Drosophila melanogaster: one gene and its partners. The gene in region 1 interacts genetically with each later gene. Each region holds a gene or a part of one and is shown on either strand. Other genes may lie near its edges. The genes, in order: grim, Dronc, pnut and Dark.

Region 1 (4,527 bases):
TATGTTGAATAGAAAGAGTGATTTTATAAAATGCCTAAAATATTAAAAACTTAACATTTTAAGTCCAGTAAAAACAATTACACAATATTTGTTATATAAAATTCAAATAGCCTGTTCGGCTTATCAATTCTCGGTAATGATGAAAAATTAAGTACTTAAACCTAAATAGGGATATTAATCATGTTAATAGTTAAATTCGCAGTAATGATATTACTTCAATCAATACAGAAAATTTTGTTGTTTTGTTTTGTTTTTAAAAATATTTCACCTCATTTTCCGCACACCATTTATAAGCAAAGTTACCCCCAACCCATAACTTTTATGGTAAGTAATACAGACCCTCCAAGTTCGGCAAATCGATACCCAGCGACCTTGAGCTTGACATTTATATATATGCCAGAATATAACGACCACGTGCTGTCAACTGTGTCAGGAAAAGCTCACCCACACTTTCTTTGGAGGAGCTGTGCTCCCTAAACGAATTTCATTGTCAAGGTCGCACGCACAAAAATGAAGAGGAAAAGCTGAATGTGGGTGGAAATGCCGGCCGGCACGACCTTGAAGCCAGTTGGGTGAGAAATAAAAAGCTTTTGCCGGTAGGAGACTTGTGGAACATCACCCACAAGTGGCGGACTTGGCCTTGGCGATGGCCTTGTTGGAGCTCCCTCAGCAAAAATGTTACATAGGGGGAGGAAATAAGCTCAATTGGCTTTATGCTTTCCGCTCCCTGGAAGTCCTTTTCTGGAATGTTAAAGTGTTAAATGACATTTATTGAACATTTGGGACAGAGGAGGAGATAATACAATATACTTGTCTAATTAAAAAAAATCGTTATTATGATTTATTCCATATGTAAGATTTTAATTCATCATGATTGTAAATAAATTATATAAAACAAATTCAATAAATTTACATTATTGATAAAATTTATTTTTTCATGAAATTATACCCAAAAATTATTCTCAATTTTTCTTATAATCAGTTTTGCATAAGTATACTTTCTTCATACCCCTCTACCACAGCCACTGCTTTCTTGACTTTGCAACTATCCGGGAACAGCTTATCATAATGGATGAGCTGCAGCTAACGGAAAATGGGGGAGCTGGGATCAAACATTTTCCAAGGTTGAAATTGTCGTCAGCATAATGTTTGAGGGAGCTGGATTCGCGTTAGCTTGAAGGTCAATCCATTTGGGTGCCCTTTGTTATGGTCAAGTTTAAGGCTGCAATAGGGGGAATCTTCAAGGACCATTACGCAAGGTTTTCGCATCAAAGATTTGCCGTGCAAGCTTTTTGAGTTGAAGGATGCTTAACTTGAAAGCGGGTTAGTGGTTCCAAGAGATTTTAGGTGAAGGAGACTCCGCTGTTTTGAAATATATTAAGTATGTAAAGAAGTATACTATAAATAACCCAAAGTGATACAATGTAAGAAAAGATCTCGTTGGTCCCTGGTATAAATTTGTTTGCCATTAATGAATATTGAAAATAATAATTATACTAATAATAGGTACAATAAGCAAGATTAAATTGCATTTAATCACCAAAAATCAGTTTCTATGCGAACCAAAATGTCATAACAAACAATTGTTGATTCATCCGTAGTGAAATCCAAGTTCGAAATTCGAAATGAGCATACGACGACCAAACTTCCCCTCAAAATTGCTAGACTCAGCTAGAGCAAGTACGCCCAAGTTAACCCCTGAAATTCGAAATGAATTCGATGCCGCGCTTCGAACAACGAAATCCCAAAGAGCTTACGTTTTATTTGACGTAGCACTCTTACGTGAAATGATTTTCCCCAATTCCGCTCTCATTTCCCGAGTCTCTCACCGCTTCTCAGCCACTTTCCCACCCCCTTTCTAGTTCCGAAGTAAAGGTAACAAAGGCAGCCGTGTCTTTGGGGTGGTAAACTGGCGGTGGTGGTGGCACATTGTCAGTGGTGTGGGTTCCTGTGGTTGGTGGTTCAATTGGTTGGTTGTTGGCATAAACAAAGCACACACACAATACACACAAACTCCCGGGGGGTGGTGGAAATTGGGAGGGTGACATTCACTGCGAGAGAGGAACTCGCTTCCTATAGGAAAGTACAAAGAGAGCTATTTTATAAATGTGACTGCAGCAAGGATATTTACAGTCAGTCCACTCTGAAACCTCGACGAGAGAACATTGAATAACAAGCGGAAGCGAAAAGCGCAGTTGAAAGTTCGTCAAAAAGCGACAAGTTTCCTCGTTCGTTTTCCCGCCAAATGAGTCAGAAAAATTTTCCAAGTGCTCGATACGAAACATAAAGACTTACAAGACTTAAAGTGCAAGCAGTGAATGGAATATATTATTCCTCAGCGATATTGAAATCAAACATTAAAAATATATGCTACACTAAAGTTATATATTTTTTTAAAGATTCATACGTTTTGTAAAATCACATTTTGTATTAAATTAAATACCGCCATGGCCATCGCCTATTTCATACCCGACCAGGCCCAATTGTTGGCCAGAAGCTATCAGCAAAACGGCCAGCAGACAGCAGCGAGTCCAAGGACAACTGCAACAGCTGCTGCACCATCGCAGCAGCAGCAACAATCGCAACAACAGCAGCAGCAGCAGCGACATCATCATCAGCAACAGCGCCCACAATTCCGTGCCAATATTTCCGTGCCGCTGGGAAGTCAACAGGGATCGATGACCATGTCGGAGTTTGGATGCTGGGATCTTTTGGCCCAGATCTTCTGCTACGCTCTGCGAATCTACAGCTACAGTTCGAGCCAGCGTCAACCGACGGTCATTCAGATATCCTTCGAGATCAGCAGCGGCGGTCAGAACAACGATGAGGACGACGTGACTGATGCCACCTCCAAGGAGAACTAAATTTGGTTTCCATATTTCATCCTGGTGGAGAGAAAATCTTTGGGATTTTCTGGGAAAGGCAGGCTCAATCAAAGCGCATTGTGATTTCTTTTTTGGGTATGGACACATGAGGAGGAACGAGTTTTGTAAAACATGGGATATTTCCACAACAAAATAAGAAAACTATTTTTAAACTATTTTTGAGAGAGAGAAAATTCAAAATTTGTCATCGACTTGCTTAAAGTGATTTTGGTTGTTTGTTACTTTTTTGGATGTCAAATTTTCCGATATAAGTTTTGAAAAAATGTTTAATTTTGCAAGCAAAGGTTTCCCGGTTGGTTCAAATACATAAACATACTTAACAACATTTAGAGAGCATAAAGAGAAATGTGTAAAATTGTCATAAACCTTATTAGTGTCTATACGTATGAGCAAAACCACAAGTATCGTACTCAACTAACAAATAATTGTCAAATTTTCTACTTCAACTACTTCAACTACATTTCAACTACTTACAAATATAAATCGTAAACTAATATTACAGAACTACAATACAGAACCAACAACAAAACAAAGATGCAACCGCAGCAACAAGAATAACAAAAGACAACAACTCAATTGTACAAAATAGATTTTAAGCAAACAGCAAATTTTATATGTTTACAACAAAGAGAGAAAATACAAAACGTCTACAAAAAATAGAATACAAGAACCGCCGAACAGAATACATTTTAACAAAAATTAAACAAAACAACAACAAACATTTAAGCAATTTTGATACGAATAATCAAGAATAACAAAATTTGAAATGTATCTTATCATTATTATTGATTTTAGCAAAATTCAAAACATATTATTTTAATTTTGGCATTGCAAATTAAACAAGAAATATTGAAATTAATCACATGTAAAGATAGCATTTGTAAGAAATTAAAATTTTTATAAGACAAACAAGCAAAAAATAAATACAATTTTATAAAAAATTAAAAAATACTTTGAACGATTATTATTGTCCCTTTTCAGAAAAACATAAAGAATTTTACCAACACCATTGCCGAGATATATATATTTAATTACCTTTTATTTCGGAGGTGTAGAACTCTATTAAAATGTTTTTGAAAAATTATTCGAAGCGTTTTTAAAATATTTTAAAAATAAACTAAAACGTTTTTAAAATAAATTCAAAAGAATATTTATTTGTTTCACCAAAGTTTTTATAAAAAAATACGTCAAAATAATATGAAATTTTGTTTAATACACTCTTTTAATAACCGCTTATGAATTAAGCCTTTGTATTCCATTTTGGGCAATGAAATGGCAAAGGATAACCGTCCTGCCAGGAAAAGGCGGAGTAAGCAAACATTTAGCGATCGCTATCGTCAAAACCAATATGTCACCTTAAAAGGGAAAACACATTTTTGGTTAAGGGCAGACAGAGAATTTTCCCGTCGTGTCATGCCAGGCACACTCCACCCAAAAGGGTTAAAAAGCAAAGGTGACGCTTAACCGCAGATCCCAGTTTGTGCCACCAATGTCCAAGTCATCGGGCTCGGGGTCAAAGGGAAAAAGAGGAAAAGGGCAAAGGGGGTGTACCCTTTAGCAAGCCCGGAAACCCATTTAACCCCAGAAGTGGAAAAAGTGTAACATCTGTGGCAGCAAGCGATCAGCGGCGCCTGATAAGTTC
Region 2 (5,262 bases), 8.3 Mb from region 1:
AAACAATTGCAATTTTAAGTTACGTTGTTGTCGTTCGTTGTGTTTGTTCGATTCGTTGGATCTGCGTTTGGTTAATGCCAGCTAATTTGATCCTGAAACTCCAGCATATCCTTGCCATGCACCTGAAATTGCTTTGCATTTTGTTCGGTCCGAATTTGTTGTTTATTTATTTCACCTTAGACAAGCATATCGATATGGTTTACTAGCGTTTAATCGTACGTATATATAATTAGATTTACTTAATTTTAATTAATGTTTACGCGACAAGACAGAAACCTAAACACAAGAAACAAAAAAAAAAATTTAAAAATGAAAAAATTAAAAACAAAATCTAAATCAAAGAAAAAGGGGAAAACCAAAAGCTCAAACTGGACTGAACATTTAAGAGTTATATTATGTACATTATTGAATTGCATTTGATTGTGTGAAGATCGTTTTAGTGCTAGTAACTGCGCCTAAAACAAAAGGGTATTATATTTGTATTCGAATTTGTATGTAATTCTGATCGTATGTACGTTATGTTATCGTAAGTGTACCATCCTAGATCCTCTAATGAATTGAATTGAAATGAAGCCAACTCTGTCTCTTGTGATTCTATTGTGATGCTATGGGAGTCAAGCAGCACTCAACTGTTTTTATGCCTCTTAAAGTTTAAAACAAAGCTAATCGTAGCAAAACCTAAAACTAAACTACCTATCTCTACACTAGTCTATGCAATGCTAATTGGCAGCCCCAACAATTGAAAACAATCATGCACAATAAATGTTATGCAATTGAGAGAATCCAAAGGCCAAAGACCCACAACTTTTTCTTACACTACTCGAAGTAATTGTGTACAACTAAAGGAATTCTAGATTTTAAATGTGCTAAAACTGTTTATAGTCAAGTACTTAATTAAGAGTGTAATTATCAAATATTAATACGTACAAAGGTTGGGGCATTTGGCATAGTAATACTAATAATGTATAAACGTGGGATCCGATGATTTGATTGATGATAATGGAGCGGTGCAAATGCGTGTGACAATGTACGTATGTAACAAACAATTGAATTTAAATGTTTAATAAATGTGTGGAAATGAATAAATGCTCTGTGTGCTAAATTCCTCAATTACTCAATAACAGCCTCTACGTTAGCTTCTCGTCCAGGAATAGTGGATCCAAACTGCACTTTTGCCGCTGTTCCATGTAATCCAAAAACTGGTGGTCAAATAAACGCTGCCCCATGCTGCGTGCCACATCGTCGGATTCGTCGGTGTTTGCCTTCTCTATGAGCAGCTGTTGGCATTAGGATTTCCTTTTTTTTTAACTATTTTGGAAAGTTGATGCAGCCTTCTGCTCACCTCAATTTCCTTGGACAAAAATTCTTTGGTCGCATCGCTCATCTTCTTTTGCGGCTGGCCCATCAAAGCGTTTTCCAGAAACTTGTAGGCCTCACTGAAAGTACCACAATGCTAAATACAAATGTAGTTTATCAAAACCATTCCTACTTCAAGTCAATGCCGTTCAGTTCCGTTGGCGATGGCTTTGTCTCATTTTGGATTATGGAGTTCACAACGACGGCTGCTTCGAATTCGCAGAGTTCAGCGAGTTGCGAACTTTTCATGAGCTCCAGCCACTGGTTAATGTTGTTTAAGCTAACGGAGTCGCAGTTTTTCACCATTTCCTCGCCCTTGCCAATCATGTCGGCCACATACTCTAGAAAAGGGATTGGGGGACAATGTACTTTTATTGCATTATGCATGTTTTAAGAAAACTCACGGAGAATGCCATTCGAATTATTTTGATTTTGCTGCTTGGCTGCTTCGAGCAGGATTTGCTGTGAGTAGCCCAGTCTGTTTAGTTGCCTTTGCAGCTTAACTTTCACCTCTCTCGGAATCCTTGCAGGCTTTTCTGCGCCTTTTTGCGCGGAGTTTTTCGGTTCCGGCGTAAATTGTTGCTCCTCCTCCATTTCTTTTGTTTATGTTTACGGTTTGTTAGGCTGACCCCATATGGTATTTGGTATTTAGTATTAAATTGAATCATTTGATGCGGCAATGAAGGAATGGTGGAATAAGTGGAACATGGAGACGGTTCATGTCATGGATTTATCCCGGACGCGTTCTCTGGTTAAAATGGCGCACCCACAAGCAGCCACACCAATCCCAAAGTTTCATTTATTAGTTTAGTGGCGAGTTTGGCGGCGCGAAACGCTCGTTGGTCCTTTTGTTTCGAAAGAAATCCTATTCGAAGATCCCCGATCCTTGCTAGGATCATCTAGTGCAATATATAGACTAGTTAATTTACTTTTGGAAAAATAAGGACACCAGCAGGGCCGCCGATTTGTGCCCCTTTCTTGAAAGTCGCAAAACAAAAACAACGACGACAACAACAAAGCGGAGACAAAGAATCGACAAGTAGCGATAAACGAAATCATTCCCGGGAAAACCTTGGAGACGGGTGATTCACTGCCAATACCACTGCCAATTGGAGACTGATCACGGCAGCCATCCTTGGCGCGCCCAATAAGCGGAGTCACCGGAACGCGTGGAAGCCATATCCGGAATGCAGCCGCCGGAGCTCGAGATTGGAATGCCGAAGAGGCATCGCGAGCATATACGCAAGAATCTGAATATACTGGTTGAATGGACGAACTACGAGCGTCTGGCCATGGAGTGCGTGCAACAGGGCATCCTAACCGTTCAGATGCTAAGAAATACGCAGGATCTCAATGGCAAGCCATTCAACATGGACGAGAAGGATGTGCGTGTGGAGCAGCATCGTAGGCTCCTATTGAAGATCACCCAGCGTGGTCCCACCGCCTATAACCTGCTGATCAATGCACTGCGCAATATCAATTGTCTGGATGCGGCCGTTCTATTGGAATCCGTCGATGAGTCCGATTCAAGGCCACCCTTTATCTCGCTAAACGAACGGAGAACCAGCCGGAAGTCGGCCGATATTGTGGACACACCCTCACCCGAAGCCTCCGAAGGACCCTGCGTTAGCAAGGTAATGAAAATAAAATCATACGAAAGCTTTGATGGTGAAATTGCAGCTCAGGTCATTGACCCTGATTTCTACAAAAAACCGGTTTATGGCACAATTTATTTGCATTTTTTTTTTTAGGTTTGTTAATTGAGTTATTCCTATTGGAATGAGATTAGAAAAGGTATCTTTAAGAATTGTAAATGGACTCAATGATGAATACTACTTTGGTACATGTGCACAGTATTATTTGCTTCTCTTTCAGAAGTTAGTTCGTGTATGAGATTCTTGTTTTCCATTTTTTTTGGAAGCATGAATCACATCCATTCTACTTACCTATCCCAATTATTCTTTTAGTAGGATTTGTTTTTAACCAGAATCTTATCGCAATATTGCTGGCAGCTGTGTTTATATAGCACGAATGTTGATTACTTCTTTGTCTGCCACATTAACCGTGCAATGAAAATATAATATATATATTGAAAATCTTATCTTTATTGTAATTTGTTCTTTCTTTCTCTCTCCTACCAAAGCTCCGGAATGAGCCGCTGGGAGCACTCACCCCTTATGTGGGTGTCGTTGACGGTCCCGAGGTAAAAAAATCGAAAAAGATACATGGTGGGGATAGTGCCATATTGGGCACATATAAGATGCAATCACGTTTCAACCGAGGCGTTTTGCTAATGGTTAACATAATGGACTATCCGGATCAAAACCGTCGACGGATCGGAGCCGAAAAGGACAGCAAGTCGTTGATACACTTGTTTCAAGAACTGAATTTTACGATTTTCCCCTATGGGAACGTGAATCAGGATCAGTTCTTTAAACTTCTGACAATGGTGACCTCCTCGTCGTATGTGCAGAATACCGAGTGTTTCGTAATGGTACTGATGACACACGGCAACAGTGTGGAGGGAAAAGAGAAGGTGGAGTTTTGCGATGGATCTGTGGTCGATATGCAGAAGATCAAGGACCATTTCCAGACGGCCAAATGTCCTTATTTGGTGAACAAGCCGAAGGTGCTTATGTTTCCCTTTTGCCGCGGCGATGAATATGATTTGGGCCATCCAAAGAATCAAGGCAATCTCATGGAGCCAGTGTATACGGCGCAAGAGGAGAAGTGGCCTGACACCCAGACGGAGGGCATACCCAGCCCGAGCACCAATGTGCCAAGTCTTGCCGACACTCTGGTCTGCTATGCTAATACGCCGGGCTATGTTACCCACCGCGATCTCGACACGGGCAGCTGGTACATCCAGAAGTTTTGCCAAGTGATGGCCGATCATGCCCACGACACAGACCTTGAGGATATCCTAAAGAAGACGAGCGAAGCCGTGGGTAATAAGCGCACCAAGAAGGGTTCCATGCAGACAGGTGCCTATGATAATCTTGGCTTTAATAAGAAACTCTACTTCAATCCCGGGTTTTTCAACGAATAGTTGCCGCCACTGGACATTTTATCATTCCGGATGCATTTTTAACCGCATTTATGTTCTTATCGTCGCATTTAGTATGTCTTTTAGATTATGTGTTCTGTGCTCGCGTGCTATAAAATGTTTATATTGTAACAAATACTCATTCAAGTATTCTTCTAATACGTATTGCATACCTCATTTAAAGGTACGAAATTATGTAATTTATGTGATAACTGCCAGAAATCTACAAATATTATAATACAGAGTTCCAGTATATACACAGCCAGATTTTTGAAATCGAACATTTAGGCAAAATGTAAAGCAATTTTCCAGTCTGATTTTTGAGTGTGTACACTTACAAAATAAACGATGATATTTCACAACAAACCGCAGTTTGTATATAATTAAAATCTATTTACATTTCTAAAATTTCATTGGGACACTAATTATTATATAATATAATCTTAGGATCATACATTTTAACCTAATCATCCTGCTCATCCTCCTCCGCCAAGTGGGACAGTTGTAGTTTTCCCGCTGCACGGCTCTGTTCCGATTTGGTTTTGCATTTCTTTGGCTTATGCGGCTTTTGGCCAATTACATACTCAGGCATCACCAGCTTGGAACCTCTTAACTGCGGCTTATCCAGCTCCACATCATCCACCTCCTGCTGTTTGAGGCTCTTGAGCTTGCGGCTGAGTTTGCTGGTCCTCTTGAACTCGATCTTGCCATCTGTAGGTGGAGATTCGTTATCGACGCCCTCAGCCTCGCGCTGTGCATCCATTTGTCGCAGGAAGGACAAGGCGGCGGCGGAGTTGCTCTGTTCGGAAATGTCCACATCAGACAGGGAGTACTTCTTCCATTTGTGCGGGTTTACCTAG
Region 3 (5,911 bases), on another chromosome or scaffold:
ATTGGAATGTTATTGGGTATAGGGAGCTGATATTTCTTTTTAGAGCTTCAATTACAATTTTCATGTTATTGTCAGAAGTTTTTTTTAAATCTAATGGAACGTTTTAAGCTGATATCTATTCCATATGCTATTGGACTTCAGGAACACTTTCACATTTATTGGGCGTACCCTAAATAACTAGCACACATGATGGGCTGGGTCGAATCCATATCATTGATTCCATTGATTGGTGACCCATGCCAGCTGATGTAACGGTCACTTGGTGGATCAGCTGCTCCTAAGCCAACATTTGCACTAAACTGTCCTTGCTCTCGTGCCAAGAATTGGCACAGCTGCCGACTCCATTCTCCCGGCTGCATCCCCCGCCACTTCTTCGAGCCACGAGAACAATGGACTTGGCCCGGACAATGGTCGGCGCTAAGAAATAGTGACTTTTCAGGGGCGCACGGGTTTTCCTCTGGCTTCTAGCGGGCCCTAATTGCTGGCAAGCATCTTACATAATATTGAAGAAGATGCGTCTCCGAATGGATTTCGTATGGAGTGTGCCTGATGCGAAACAGCTGCTCAAGATCTCAAAACTATGAACACGAGGAAGGGTTGCGGGGAGATTAGGTGGGATTTGTTCGCTGTAAAGATTTGCGGTTGCAGTTGCGGTGGCACATTTCAAGACCTAACATCTGTCGTAAAAAACATCTAGTTTCGAAGCCCCCAGCCAAAAATGAAATGTATTTAGCATTGATGAATACGATAATAGAAAATCAACTTTTTAGTGCTATAAAAAAGTAGTGCTATAAAAAAGTACGAAAGTACATACGCGTATGTTTTTAATCGTTAAAGATGCACCCAAAAAAGCAATATAAAATTAGTTTAAGGAAGCTAAAGTAAATATACATATAAATAGACTTAATGAATAAAATCGACTTTCTCCTTATATTTTGGGTTAATCAAATGGTTTCGGATGGTCATAAATGTTAAATGTATTAATAAAGCTTAAAATAAAGTTTGATAAAGAATGAAAAAGAATTCATTAAATAACTTTTTAGAACAAAAAATATGTATTGAGATCATAAAATGCAATCGACAATCAAATTAGTAAGAATAACAAGAAACAAGGGGATCTCTAGCCACAAAATTCCACAGAACTTCCCTCGATTTACCTTTTCCCTTGACGACAACAACTGTAAATCCTCCAATAAGTACAGTCATCCCCTAGGGTAAAAATCGAGCCACCGCGAGTCATATCAATTCATAAATGCATATTAATTCCGATAGAGGCTAAAATTAAAACAGGAGTCGCTTTGGAATAATGTGAGAAAAAAACTTTCTCACGATCACCTTGTTGTCGCGCAGACGGCGTTTGGTGGAAATCCACGTGCAAAAGGGGGAAGTTCGGAAGCAAGGAAGGCTGGATGGTAGGAAGGAAGGAAACCACCACCACCAAGCAGGCGGAGTAGGACGCAGGACCCTCTTAATGGTGGTGGTTAGTACCTCCCTCTCCCCCTCCCCCTCTACCAGTGACGATCGCCAGAAGTGCATGAGAATTTAAATTACAAACAAACCGAAACGCAGAGCGCACAATCAACGGGCTTTGTCCGTGTGCGTGTATGCATCGGCATGCGATGACGCGTAGAGGGTGGGGTAGAGAGGGTGCCAGGACGAGGCGTGTGTGGGAACTTTCGACGAGGACACTCGAGCATGAAGCGGGTCAAACGACAGAGGCCAGTTATTATCCAGCTCCTTTTTATGGCACTTCTCACACGCCCACAAGGGGCGTTAGTTAGCTCACTAACCTCTTTCCAAACAGAGTCGAATGGAATTATAGCAAGTGTGAGAGAGAAGCGAAAGTCGAGTTCTCAGCGTCACAATAACAACACCCACGCGACAGAAGCATCTTTAGTTCTCAGCGAGAGAGATAAGCTCAGCTTCCTCTTCTTCTTTCTCTGCTCCTTCTGCTGCTCTCACGGGCATGCGCAACATTGCAACAAAAATTAAAGGGAACCCGTAACCACAAAAGTCATGGGCGTAGTGAACAATTTTATTTAAAAACCCGTTATGGTGTACCATAGAAATTAATTCCCTATAAAAATGGACAAACATAAACTGAAAATGTTTTAAAATAAATATAGTTCGATATGTAGTCAAAAAACCCCTCAGTAATCCACCCCTGCTTAAGGCAAAAGTCAAAGTCATCTAGACGGATAATTTCTTCCTGTGCATCAGCGGGCGATTGTAATGCGATCCGTGGCCACTCCAGTGCAGTCATTCAGGCCAGAAATCTGGAATCCCAAGTGCTGGGACACATGAATGCGTTTCATTGCCTATTTTTAAACATAACATTCCATTTCAAGTGATAAGGCCACCAGAAAATAGTTCTCTTTGCCCGTTTGCATGTGCATTGCTGCGGCAGTATGGGTGCGTGTATCTCTGTGTGTATGTGTCGCATTACTCATGCGCTCTCACTCCAAGCGTCGTTTGGTATATTCGCGGCTCTCGTCCGGTATTTTCCAGGGTCACACTGCGCCTGAGCTGGGGCGTTGTTGTTGCCTGCGAGAGCGGAGCAGAAGTATTTATCGCGTTGCAGCGCACGGTCCTACTGACACAGAAAATGCAAGAAAAGTAAGAGCGTAAAAGAGCTGGCGTAGGCGTGACAAAAGCGGTGAAAAAGCAACGGTTCTGTGCAAGCAAAGTGAATAAATACAGTGAAGCCCACCTGCGAACGAATATCGAAGGCTCAAAGGCGAATTTGGCGCTATTCCAATGAATAGTCCTCGCTCGAACGCGGTTAATGGCGGCAGCGGCGGCGCCATCTCCGCTCTGCCCAGCACTCTGGCCCAACTGGCTCTGCGCGACAAGCAGCAGGCTGCGTCGGCATCGGCGTCCTCTGCCACGAACGGCAGCAGCGGCAGCGAGTCCTTGGTGGGCGTCGGTGGACGACCGCCCAATCAGCCGCCCAGTGTGCCAGTGGCCGCCAGTGGCAAGCTGGACACCAGCGGCGGAGGCGCCTCCAACGGCGACTCGAACAAACTGACCCACGATCTGCAGGAGAAGGAGCACCAGCAGGCGCAGAAGCCACAGAAGCCACCGCTCCCGGTGCGCCAGAAGCCCATGGAGATCGCCGGCTATGTGGGCTTCGCCAACCTGCCCAATCAGGTCTATCGCAAGGCCGTCAAGCGGGGATTCGAGTTCACTCTGATGGTGGTGGGCGCCAGTGGGCTGGGCAAGTCGACGCTGATCAACTCCATGTTCCTGTCGGACATCTACAACGCGGAACAGTATCCGGGCCCCTCGCTGCGCAAAAAGAAGACCGTGGCCGTGGAGGCCACCAAAGTAATGCTCAAGGAGAACGGCGTCAATCTGACACTCACGGTGGTGGACACACCCGGATTCGGTGATGCCGTTGACAACAGCAACTGCTGGGTGCCCATACTGGAGTACGTGGATAGCAAGTACGAGGAGTACCTGACAGCCGAGTCGCGGGTGTACCGAAAAACCATTTCGGACAGCCGGGTGCACTGCTGCCTCTACTTCATAGCGCCATCGGGACACGGACTCCTGCCGCTGGACATTGCCTGCATGCAGAGCCTGTCGGACAAGGTAAATCTGGTGCCGGTGATCGCCAAGGCGGACACCATGACGCCCGACGAGGTGCATCTATTTAAGAAGCAGATCCTTAACGAGATCGCCCAGCACAAGATCAAGATCTACGACTTCCCCGCCACGCTGGAGGATGCGGCCGAGGAGGCCAAAACCACGCAGAATTTGCGCAGCCGAGTGCCATTCGCGGTGGTGGGTGCCAACACCATCATCGAGCAGGACGGAAAGAAGGTCCGGGGTAGGCGTTATCCCTGGGGCCTGGTGGAGGTGGAGAACCTGACGCATTGCGACTTTATAGCGCTGCGCAACATGGTCATACGCACGCACCTTCAGGACCTCAAGGACGTGACGAACAACGTCCACTACGAGAACTACCGCTGCCGGAAGCTATCCGAGCTGGGATTGGTGGACGGCAAGGCCAGGCTGTCCAACAAGAACCCACTCACCCAGATGGAGGAGGAAAAGCGGGAGCACGAGCAGAAGATGAAGAAGATGGAGGCCGAGATGGAGCAGGTGTTTGACATGAAGGTCAAGGAGAAGATGCAGAAGCTCAGGGACTCGGAGCTGGAGCTGGCGCGGCGCCACGAGGAGCGCAAGAAGGCGCTGGAGCTGCAGATCCGGGAGCTGGAGGAGAAGAGACGCGAGTTCGAGCGCGAGAAGAAGGAGTGGGAGGATGTCAACCACGTGACGCTCGAGGAGCTCAAGCGACGCAGCCTGGGGGCCAACAGCAGCACGGACAATGTGGATGGCAAGAAGGAGAAGAAAAAGAAGGGTCTGTTCTAAGTCAACACGCTCAAAACCCCCATTCCCCAAACCCCCTTCCGCTCCTCGTATACTTAAGCGCTAATCTCGAGAACAAAGCAAATGAAAACCCTAGCGTATCCTACTCTTATTCCTACCACATAAAGTAATTCGAAAAGTGCATAAATATATCTATTGTTGGGCCCAGCCGCCCCACAAGGCTTCTATTCGCACAGCAATCGTCCAGCGACGGCGTTGCATTTGTTTTCTACATACTATACAAGTACATATAACACATAGCAGTTGCAGTATTTTACCAATATATATCCACGCATTACTTGACGAAACACATTTGCTAGCCTAATGAATTGAACACGCAAACGAATTAAATCGAGACAGTAACAAACGGTATTTGCAAAATACTTAAGTATCTTAAAGCCTAATCATAATAAAAACTAAGCAGAATGTACGAGTGCGAGGCGAAATTGATCCTAAAATTAATTATAACGAATAACGAATCCATGTATAACGTATGCTATTGATATTGTAATTGTATTTTACCTATTATGCATAAAGTCATTGAACACCCGAACACACACCAGCAAGGCAAAAGCCGCAAGCGCAGCAGAAAACATCAAGAAACAAAATATACTCTTGCATTTTATAAAATAAAGTCTTCTCCTTAGTTTAACTACATAAAAGCTGAAAAGCATTCCATATTAAATTCGTTGTTTACTCAACTGCAGCGGAACGGGTCCGCTTGGCACACGTCTGGGTATGATAGGCATGACGATGGATATGGCGATTTGGATATGACGATTACATTCTCAATATCTTAGTTAACCATGAGCTAATGGATGAGTCATTCCGCAGGAGCATTGACTGGGAACGTGGCTCGAGTCAAGCGGATAGGTAAATCACTCGCCGCAAACAATTAAAAGTGTTTACCTCTCACACTGCTATGTATGTATGTATGTATGTGTGATGCTTATTGGACCAGTGAAAACTAACGCGAACCGTTGGTGCCACCTAAAAGTATCATGCTTTTCGTTTCCTAAGAAATACCCTTTATGCAGTTCTTGCCCATATGTGCGACTCAAGCAATTACGAAAAGCCTGACACTCCCTATAAGTCAGTACATGTACATATACAATCTTTCGCCTTATGCGGCCACAATTTAGGTCAGAATAATAGATATTCATCGCAGTTGGTAGCAATGAGCTTTATTTTGCAAAAATCAAGATAATATCAGATAAGATAAGCTGACTTGCGTGATGTACATATGTATGTACATAAATATTGGATCAGTTTAGTCATATCGCAATACCATTTCTTCTAGGAAGTACATGATCTCGTTTGTCTGATAGCTAACCAGATGTTATCAAGACTAACTACTAGTTTCTTGGCCGATATTGTTTCCACATGAAATTACTGCATTTTTGCTGGTTCTCCCCACTTGAAATTGCTTTCTAAATGCCCCAGACACCAGCTTTATTGAGAGACATGTGTGCATGGATATTTAATTTATGCACAAAAATTAATCCATAACCCAATTGGAAGGCACTCAATTAGAGCC
Region 4 (8,502 bases), on another chromosome or scaffold:
CTGCTCGATCGACTTCTCGAAGATGTCCTCCATGGCGATGGAGAGCACGAATTGGTTGTTCTCCATGCCATCGAAAATGGTCAGGAAGCGTGATGCAATCGAATCAAATTGGCCCGGATTCTGGATGGAGATCATTAATATGTCTGGTTAGTAGGAAATTTAGGTTTAAAACTTAAGATTAAGTTTGACTAGACTGAAATGTTTCAGCTGATTTTTTTTTTTACTTTCGAGCATAAATATATTGATTTTAAATATATTGTTATATTTAAAGAAAATATTAAGCTGACACCTATTAAAATTGATTAAATAATCATAAAACACTAAAAATATAAATCAAAGGAAGCCCATAATTGCCCTGATAGCTTATCAATCGAAATTCTCACCTGGTTAAGGCAATGTATGACTGTATCAAGATACTCCAGTGCTATGGTGGCCATGTCCGGCTGCGAAGAGTTCGAGGACGACGAGGAGGCCGCCGCAGTCGAAGTGGATGGCTGCGGTTGTTGATTCTGGTTCTGAATATACTGCTGCTGCTGTTGGTTGTGCTGCTGGTGGTGCGGCTGCTGCGGCTGGTTGTGCTGTGTTTGCTGTACGATTTGTTGGAATGAGTTATTCAAGTGGAAGTGCCGTTGAAACTTGGCGTGTTGGTTGTGTGGCTGATGCTGCTGCTGGTGTTGTTGGTGGTGGTGTGTGTTTTGGTGTACCTGCTGCTGCTGATAGTAGTTGCCGGCTGAGCCCTGCTGGCTATTCAGGTGCAGGCGATTCTGCACGGAATTCGTTAGCTTCTGCATATCGTTGTTGAACTTCTGCTGATGATTGTGATGATGGTTGTAGTGCGGCTGCTGGTGGTGCTGCTGATGGTGATGCTTAAAACCATTCACATAGCGCGGCTGCTGTTGGCCATAAGGAGCTCCTCCACCGGCTCCACCAGCCTGCTGGTATTGCTGATGTCGCGACTGCTGCTGCGGGGGAGCAGCTCCTCGAGGGATGAAAATTGTGGCCGTGGCCGACAGATTGGACGCATCGGACAGAGTCTGCGCCTGGGGTTGCATGGCCTGCACAGGAAAATTGCCAACCACCTGACCGTACGCCTGCGCTCCGGCGTACTCCCCAAAGAGATGCGCCTGCTGATCCAGTCCCGGCATGGCCACTCCGCCTGCTCCGCCGACATTCGGCCGGCGCAGCTGCTCATACTGATCGTCGGGCTGGAAGGGGGCGCGGCATGACATTGCGTTGGACTCGAAAACTGCAAATCACCAATCAGAGTAAAGTAATGGATGAGGATTAGTTTATCTAAATAAAGACAAATCACATTCGCCAGGGCATTCCCCAGCGTGGTTACGTTTGCAAGCCTCGGGACGCCGATTCAGACAGAGTTGCGGACATTTTGTTTTCCTACCACTGGTTTGTCGCCTTTCTTTTTTTATCTCTTTATTTTCCGCAGCCGGGTCAGTCGGTGTTTCCCATTGAAATGGACACGACCTATCCGACTCTACCGTGTGGTGGTGGGGAAATTGCAATGCCTACCTTAAATTTGTTCAAGTTGAATGTGTACGTCGCCGATTTTCGTTTTTGTTGCTTCGTTTTGCTGCGTCGTCACTTTCTCGTCTGCGTCTCTGATGCGCTGCTCCGAATTTCGTGTCTGATTTTGGGTGGGATTGCACGTTTTACTGGCCGTAAAAAATGTTAAATTGGACGGTGCGGGGGCGGGACGGCCGGTGACCGCTGAAAGGGAATGTAAAATGCTACGCACCTTTAATTTACACTGCGGCAATTTGTTAAAATTTATTATTTCGCCTTTTCACCGTCGGTGTGGTCGCAAGTGGCTAGTGAAAACTTACCTGGCAGTGAATACCTTTGTTGTCTGTGATATATCGATACGGCTCAATATGGTCACACTTTAAATAAAGTAATAAGTGCTAAACCGTTTTTTAGAAAATAAGCATTAGATAAACTACTTCATTTCGTACAAGAAAATCATGGTATTATTATAATCTTAGATCTAGTTGGAAAAGAGATATATATTTGGCATATATATATAAGGTGGCATATATATAACAAATTAATAACTAATAACAAATAATATATATTAAAATATAATAAGAAATTCTTAATATATAAATAAGAATTTATTATTATATATTATTTGTTGTCGGTTCAAAAATTAATTTAATCGTAATGTAAATTGTATTTCTTATTAAGAATATACAAATTCTCAATATCTTAAATCACGCAATATAATATCGAATTACAATTCAGATTACGATTAAAATCATTTTTGAACCACTTGACAACCCTATATATAATTCGATATTATTTCCCTCGCGTAAAACGGTCACACAGTCGAATAAATTCCGTTTTGTTATTTTTTGAGTACTACTCAATGAGTAGCATAGATTAGTACATTATTTATATTTTTTCAAGCCTTTAGTGTTTCGCTTAGAATGTGCTAGAACAATGTGAACAAGCCGGAGCAACTATATATTAAGGATAAAGTGCAATACTTACACATACAACAAAATACGAATAAGGACGACGATTTGTTAAAAATAAACGGCGAGCGTAAGTAAATATGCGTGCAGGTGAAAGCTTATGTACCTGTAGTGCTTTCGTTTTCTGTGCTCTACAAGTCCATTTGTTTAATTCTTCCATTGGGCCTTGTGCCTCCCCGTCAATCACAAATCCAAGGCACTGTGTGTGTGACTGAAACAATTGCATGCGAGAGCACTTACACACAAACATAACAAGTTCATTCACACGGCAAACTCAGTGACGTATCTTCTCTCTGCCTTTACGCGCTTATCTAACTGGTGATTAATAATTCGATCCGATTTTGGTTCTACGACATTGACGAGCGGAGGAGAACAAAAATGCAACCGGAATTGCCTTTTTCGATGGTTGCACCGCCAGCTCACGTATTCCTAGCTATTTAGAGGCGATCTCGTTCGCGTCCTTGTCGATTAGTTGTGAAATTACCGATGATCCAGTCGATCTCAGCTTGCAGATAAGGGATCTCATAGATCCATGGTATCGCATTTCTCTCCTCGAGAAGCCGTCTACGGTGCATTCAAATAAAGTGGGCCAAGCTTGGCGCCAAAAATTCCGCCATATGTATGTACACATATACATGCATACATATGTGCATTTGAAATGAACATTTTTTTGTTTTGATTTGTTTTTTTCGATTTTCTTGATTCTGTTCGCTAAGAGTTGCACCTGAGTTTTTATTGGTTGGTCCAACCAAATTTATGATTTGTGTGATTGCCCGACCAAGGAGAAGACAGGGATTCGGATTTGATTCAGCTTTATTATTAGAACACTCGATCTGGTTGCGTTAGTGTGAACGTGGAGAGCTTAGGAACAATAAAAGCTAGAAGGTTGATATTAAGAATACAGATTCTAGAGATACAGACGCAGCCCAAGTTTATTCACCCATGTTGCCACGCCTACCCTAACGCCCACAAACTGCTCAAAACTGTCACGGCCACACTTTTGAACCGTTTTAATTTTTATTTCTATTTATTTTGTTTTCGAATTTCTATGAGATAAAAATTTCCAGCAGAGTAACGGGTATCTAATAGCCGGAAAACTCGACTATAACATTTTCTTTTGTAATTAATGAAAATACCACAAAAAATAACCCAATGCCAATAAATTATTTCTAACATAGCTATAAAATTTAGTTACTATATAAATATTTACATATGTAGGTAACACGAATATGGATTTTGAAACTGGGGAGCACCAATACCAATACAAGGACATTTTGTCCGTGTTTGAGGATGCATTCGTCGACAACTTCGACTGCAAGGATGTCCAGGATATGCCGAAATCAATATTGTCCAAGGAGGAAATTGACCACATCATCATGTCTAAGGATGCAGTCAGCGGCACACTTCGCTTGTTTTGGACACTGCTCTCTAAACAGGAGGAAATGGTCCAGAAATTTGTGGAGGAAGTTCTCAGGATCAACTACAAATTCTTAATGTCGCCAATCAAGACTGAGCAACGGCAGCCCAGCATGATGACCAGGATGTACATCGAGCAGAGAGATCGTCTGTACAACGACAACCAAGTATTCGCCAAGTACAATGTGAGCCGCCTGCAACCGGTATGATAATCTCCCATTCGAAAAAAAAAACAATCAAAGAAGTCCAACGTACGAAACCGAAAAACAATTTTACTCTGTGGAATTGTTATCTAACCATACTACAATACTTTTTATATTTCAGTATCTGAAGCTAAGGCAGGCTCTTCTAGAACTTCGCCCAGCGAAAAATGTATTGATTGATGGCGTCTTGGGATCGGGAAAGACTTGGGTAGCCTTGGATGTGTGCCTATCGTACAAAGTGCAATGCAAGATGGACTTTAAGATCTTCTGGCTTAACTTGAAGAACTGCAATAGCCCGGAGACCGTGCTAGAGATGCTGCAGAAATTACTTTACCAGATCGATCCCAACTGGACAAGTCGTAGCGATCATAGCAGTAACATAAAGCTTCGAATCCACAGCATTCAGGCGGAACTGCGACGACTGCTCAAGAGCAAGCCATACGAGAATTGTCTCCTTGTTCTGCTTAATGTGCAAAATGCCAAGGCTTGGAATGCTTTCAACTTGAGCTGCAAGATATTGCTAACCACACGGTTCAAGCAGGTCACTGACTTTCTTTCGGCAGCTACCACAACTCATATTTCATTGGATCATCATTCGATGACGCTTACGCCGGATGAGGTTAAGTCTTTGCTTCTAAAGTACCTCGACTGTCGACCACAGGATTTGCCCCGGGAAGTTTTGACAACGAATCCCCGCAGACTAAGCATTATTGCTGAGAGCATTCGGGATGGTCTGGCGACCTGGGACAACTGGAAACAGTATGTGGATTATGAGTGTTCACACTGAATAAATACATAATTTTTTTTTGTAGTGTAAACTGTGATAAGCTGACGACCATCATTGAGAGCTCTCTAAACGTTCTGGAGCCCGCTGAATATAGAAAAATGTTTGATAGACTGTCAGTTTTCCCTCCATCAGCCCACATACCCACTATTGTAAGTGAGCACTGCACTTTACGGCATACATCTACTAATCGTTATCAACTTCCTGTTGAACAGCTCCTATCGTTGATATGGTTTGATGTTATCAAATCCGATGTAATGGTAGTGGTTAACAAACTTCATAAATATTCATTGGTGGAGAAGCAACCAAAAGAGTCAACCATAAGTATACCCAGCATATACTTGGAGTTGAAAGTCAAGCTTGAAAACGAATATGCACTTCATCGGAGTATCGTAGATCACTATAAGTATGTTCCTAGCCCTTTTCTTGATATCTTGAATTTTTGCTAAAATGTATTAACCTTAAGCCACGAGTAAGCCGTATACTGAGTGATTTTAACCTTTTTGTTAGTATCCCAAAAACATTCGATTCCGACGACTTGATACCGCCTTACCTGGACCAATACTTCTATAGCCACATCGGTCATCATCTAAAAAACATTGAGCACCCCGAACGGATGACTCTCTTTCGCATGGTCTTTTTAGATTTCCGTTTTCTAGAACAAAAGATTCGGCACGATTCAACTGCTTGGAATGCCAGTGGATCGATCTTGAACACGCTACAGCAGCTGAAGTTCTACAAGCCATATATTTGCGGTACGTAAATTTCTGAATCATTTGAAACAAAAAAAAAATGTAATCTTTTTTTCATGCAGACAATGACCCAAAGTATGAGCGCTTAGTCAACGCTATTCTGGATTTTTTGCCAAAGATTGAGGAAAATCTTATTTGTTCAAAGTATACGGACCTGCTTAGGATTGCCCTGATGGCCGAGGATGAGGCGATTTTTGAAGAAGCCCATAAACAAGTGCAGCGCTTTGACGATCGGGTTTGGTTTACTAACCAGTAAGTACTTACCAGCTATTGACTAATCAAACAAACAGAGCTGTCATTTTTAGTAATAATGAAATGTATATATATTAAAGTTACTTTATTATTATTATTTCACTTTTTCCTTTTATCAGCGGTCGTTTCCACCAGCACCGTCAGATTATAAACCTGGGTGATAATGAGGGGCGCCATGCTGTCTACCTTCACAACGACTTTTGCTTGATAGCGCTGGCCAGCGGGCAGATCCTGCTAACCGATGTTTCGCTGGAGGGAGAGGACACCTATTTGCTAAGGGACGAGAGCGACAGCAGTGACATTCTGCGTATGGCGGTATTTAACCAACAGAAGCACTTGATCACCTTGCACTGCAACGGCAGCGTAAAACTTTGGTCCCTGTGGCCCGATTGTCCAGGAAGGCGCCACAGTGGTGGTAGCAAGCAGCAGCTAGTCAATAGCGTGGTTAAACGCTTTATAGGGAGCTATGCAAATCTGAAAATTGTTGCTTTCTATTTAAATGAAGACGCCGGATTGCCAGAGGCCAACATCCAACTGCATGTGGCATTCATCAATGGTGATGTGAGTATTTTGAATTGGGACGAACAAGATCAGGAGTTCAAACTGTCGCACGTGCCTGTTTTGAAAACGATGCAGTCGGGAATACGGTGTTTCGTTCAGGTTTTAAAGCGATATTACGTGGTCTGCACCTCAAATTGCACACTTACTGTATGGGATTTGACCAACGGTTCCAGCAATACGCTGGAACTACATGTTTTTAATGTCGAAAACGACACGCCGTTGGCCTTAGATGTATTTGACGAAAGGAGTAAGACCGCCACCGTGTTGCTGATTTTTAAGTACAGCGTATGGCGGCTCAATTTTTTGCCAGGTCTTTCGGTTAGTTTGCAATCGGAGGCAGTGCAACTGCCAGAAGGAAGTTTCATCACCTGCGGAAAGCGTTCGACTGACGGACGTTACCTACTGCTGGGCACGTCCGAGGGACTTATTGTGTATGATCTGAAAATCTCTGATCCCGTGCTACGCAGCAATGTCAGCGAACATATAGAGTGTGTGGATATATACGAGCTGTTTGATCCTGTCTATAAGTACATTGTTTTGTGCGGCGCTAAGGGAAAACAGGTGGTCCATGTGCACACATTGCGCTCTGTAAGCGGCTCGAATTCACATCAAAACAGGGAAATCGCCTGGGTTCACAGTGCAGATGAGATAAGCGTGATGACAAAGGCTTGCTTGGAGCCTAATGTCTATCTGCGTTCTCTGATGGACATGACCAGAGAGCGGACGCAACTTCTGGCTGTGGACTCCAAGGAGCGCATTCACCTAATTAAACCGGCCATTTCTAGAATTTCCGAATGGTCCACAATCACACCCACTCATGCTGCCAGTAACTGTAAGATAAATGCCATATCCGCCTTTAACGACGAACAGATTTTCGTTGGCTATGTGGACGGAGTGATAATAGATGTTATTCATGATACAGCGCTACCTCAGCAGTTTATAGAGGAGCCCATTGATTACCTCAAACAGGTCAGTCCCAACATTCTGGTGGCGTCGGCACACAGTGCCCAGAAGACTGTGATATTCCAGCTGGAAAAGATAGATCCGCTGCAACCCAATGACCAGTGGCCATTGATGATGGATGTTAGTACCAAGTACGCGTCCTTGCAGGAAGGACAGTATATCATTTTGTTTTCCGACCACGGAGTCTGTGTGAGTGTTCTTAATTGAAGTTTATGCGAGTAAAAGTGCAGTATTTGATTTCAATATTTACCAACAGCATCTGGATATAGCTAACCCATCTGCATTCGTGAAACCAAAGGATTCGGAGGAATACATTGTCGGCTTTGATCTAAAGAACAGTCTTCTCTTTCTGGCCTACGAAAACAACATCATCGATGTGGGTTTGCTAAACATAATATCATTAAACAATTATCAATTATTTCCAACGACAGGTATTCCGTTTAATATTCAGCTGTAACCAACTAAGGTACGAACAGATTTGCGAAGAAGAGATCGCCCAGAAGGCCAAGATCAGCTATTTGGTAGCCACGGATGATGGTACCATGTTGGCTATGGGTTTCGAAAATGGCACTTTAGAGGTATACATACGTCTTACAAATTCGTTTCATAATTATTTCCTGCTAATTATACATTTCCCAACAGCTCTTTGCCGTTGAAAACAGAAAAGTTCAACTGATCTACAGCATTGAAGAGGTCCACGAGCACTGCATCCGGCAATTGCTATTCTCGCCATGTAAGTTGCTCCTGATCAGCTGCGCGGAGCAGCTGTGCTTCTGGAATGTGACGCACATGCGCAACAATCAATTGGAGCGCGAGCAAAAACGGCGGCGCAGTCGACGCCATAAGCAGCACAGTGTTACACAAGAGGATGCTGTGGATGCGGCGCCCATTGCAGCGGACATCGATGTAGATGTGACATTCGTTGCCGACGAGTTTCATCCGGTGAACCGAGGGACTGCGGAACTGTGGCGGAATAAGCGCGGCAATGCCATCCGTCCGGAACTCCTGGCCTGCGTTAAATTTGTGGGAAATGAAGCTCGTCAGTTCTTCACAGACGCCCACTTCTCCCACTTTTATGC

Evidence for each region.
Region 2: of grim (region 1) and Dronc, changing one suppresses a phenotype caused by changing the other (phenotypic suppression), as found in Drosophila melanogaster (4 studies listed by BioGRID).
Region 3: of grim (region 1) and pnut, changing one suppresses a phenotype caused by changing the other (phenotypic suppression), as found in Drosophila melanogaster (one study listed by BioGRID).
Region 4: of grim (region 1) and Dark, changing one suppresses a phenotype caused by changing the other (phenotypic suppression), as found in Drosophila melanogaster (2 studies listed by BioGRID).

What each region holds. Positions count from the first base shown.
Region 1 is NT_037436.4:18,302,020-18,306,546, reverse strand, and holds grim (grim), read left to right. Parts: upstream 1-2,129; 5' UTR 2,130-2,447; coding exon 2,448-2,864; 3' UTR 2,865-3,828; downstream 3,829-4,527. UniProt on the Drosophila melanogaster protein: Activator of apoptosis, independent of rpr and hid, that acts on the effector Dredd.
Region 2 is NT_037436.4:9,966,345-9,971,606, forward strand, and holds Dronc (death regulator Nedd2-like caspase), read left to right. Parts: upstream 1-2,134; 5' UTR 2,135-2,543; coding exon 2,544-2,990; intron 2,991-3,499; coding exon 3,500-4,405; 3' UTR 4,406-4,658; downstream 4,659-5,262. Other genes in the region: CG6685 (uncharacterized protein), read right to left, coding at 1,128-1,277, 1,343-1,436, 1,490-1,697, 1,761-1,950; CG6674 (uncharacterized protein), read right to left, coding at 4,866-5,258. UniProt on the Drosophila melanogaster protein: Involved in the activation cascade of caspases responsible for apoptosis execution. Effector of steroid-mediated apoptosis during insect metamorphosis. Overexpression promotes programmed cell death.
Region 3 is NT_033778.4:8,235,300-8,241,210, forward strand, and holds pnut (peanut), read left to right. Parts: upstream 1-1,971; 5' UTR 1,972-2,757; coding exon 2,758-4,377; 3' UTR 4,378-4,998; downstream 4,999-5,911. UniProt on the Drosophila melanogaster protein: Involved in cytokinesis and possibly cellularization. Also acts as an enhancer of the sina gene, thus having a role in photoreceptor development. May be involved in p53-dependent apoptosis.
Region 4 is NT_033778.4:17,017,680-17,026,181, forward strand, and holds the start of Dark (Death-associated APAF1-related killer), read left to right. Parts: upstream 1-2,347; 5' UTR 2,348-2,562; intron 2,563-3,710; 5' UTR 3,711-3,721; coding exon 3,722-4,111; intron 4,112-4,232; coding exon 4,233-4,870; intron 4,871-4,923; coding exon 4,924-5,047; intron 5,048-5,110; coding exon 5,111-5,301; intron 5,302-5,405; coding exon 5,406-5,650; coding exon of another isoform or gene 5,651-5,658; exon of another isoform or gene 5,659-5,709; coding exon 5,710-5,899; intron 5,900-5,972; exon of another isoform or gene 5,973-6,018; coding exon 6,019-7,612; intron 7,613-7,673; exon of another isoform or gene 7,674-7,679; coding exon 7,680-7,799; exon of another isoform or gene 7,800-7,854; coding exon 7,855-8,001; exon of another isoform or gene 8,002-8,065; coding exon 8,066-8,502. Other genes in the region: Paip1 (Poly(A) binding protein interacting protein 1), read right to left, coding at 1-120, 384-1,229.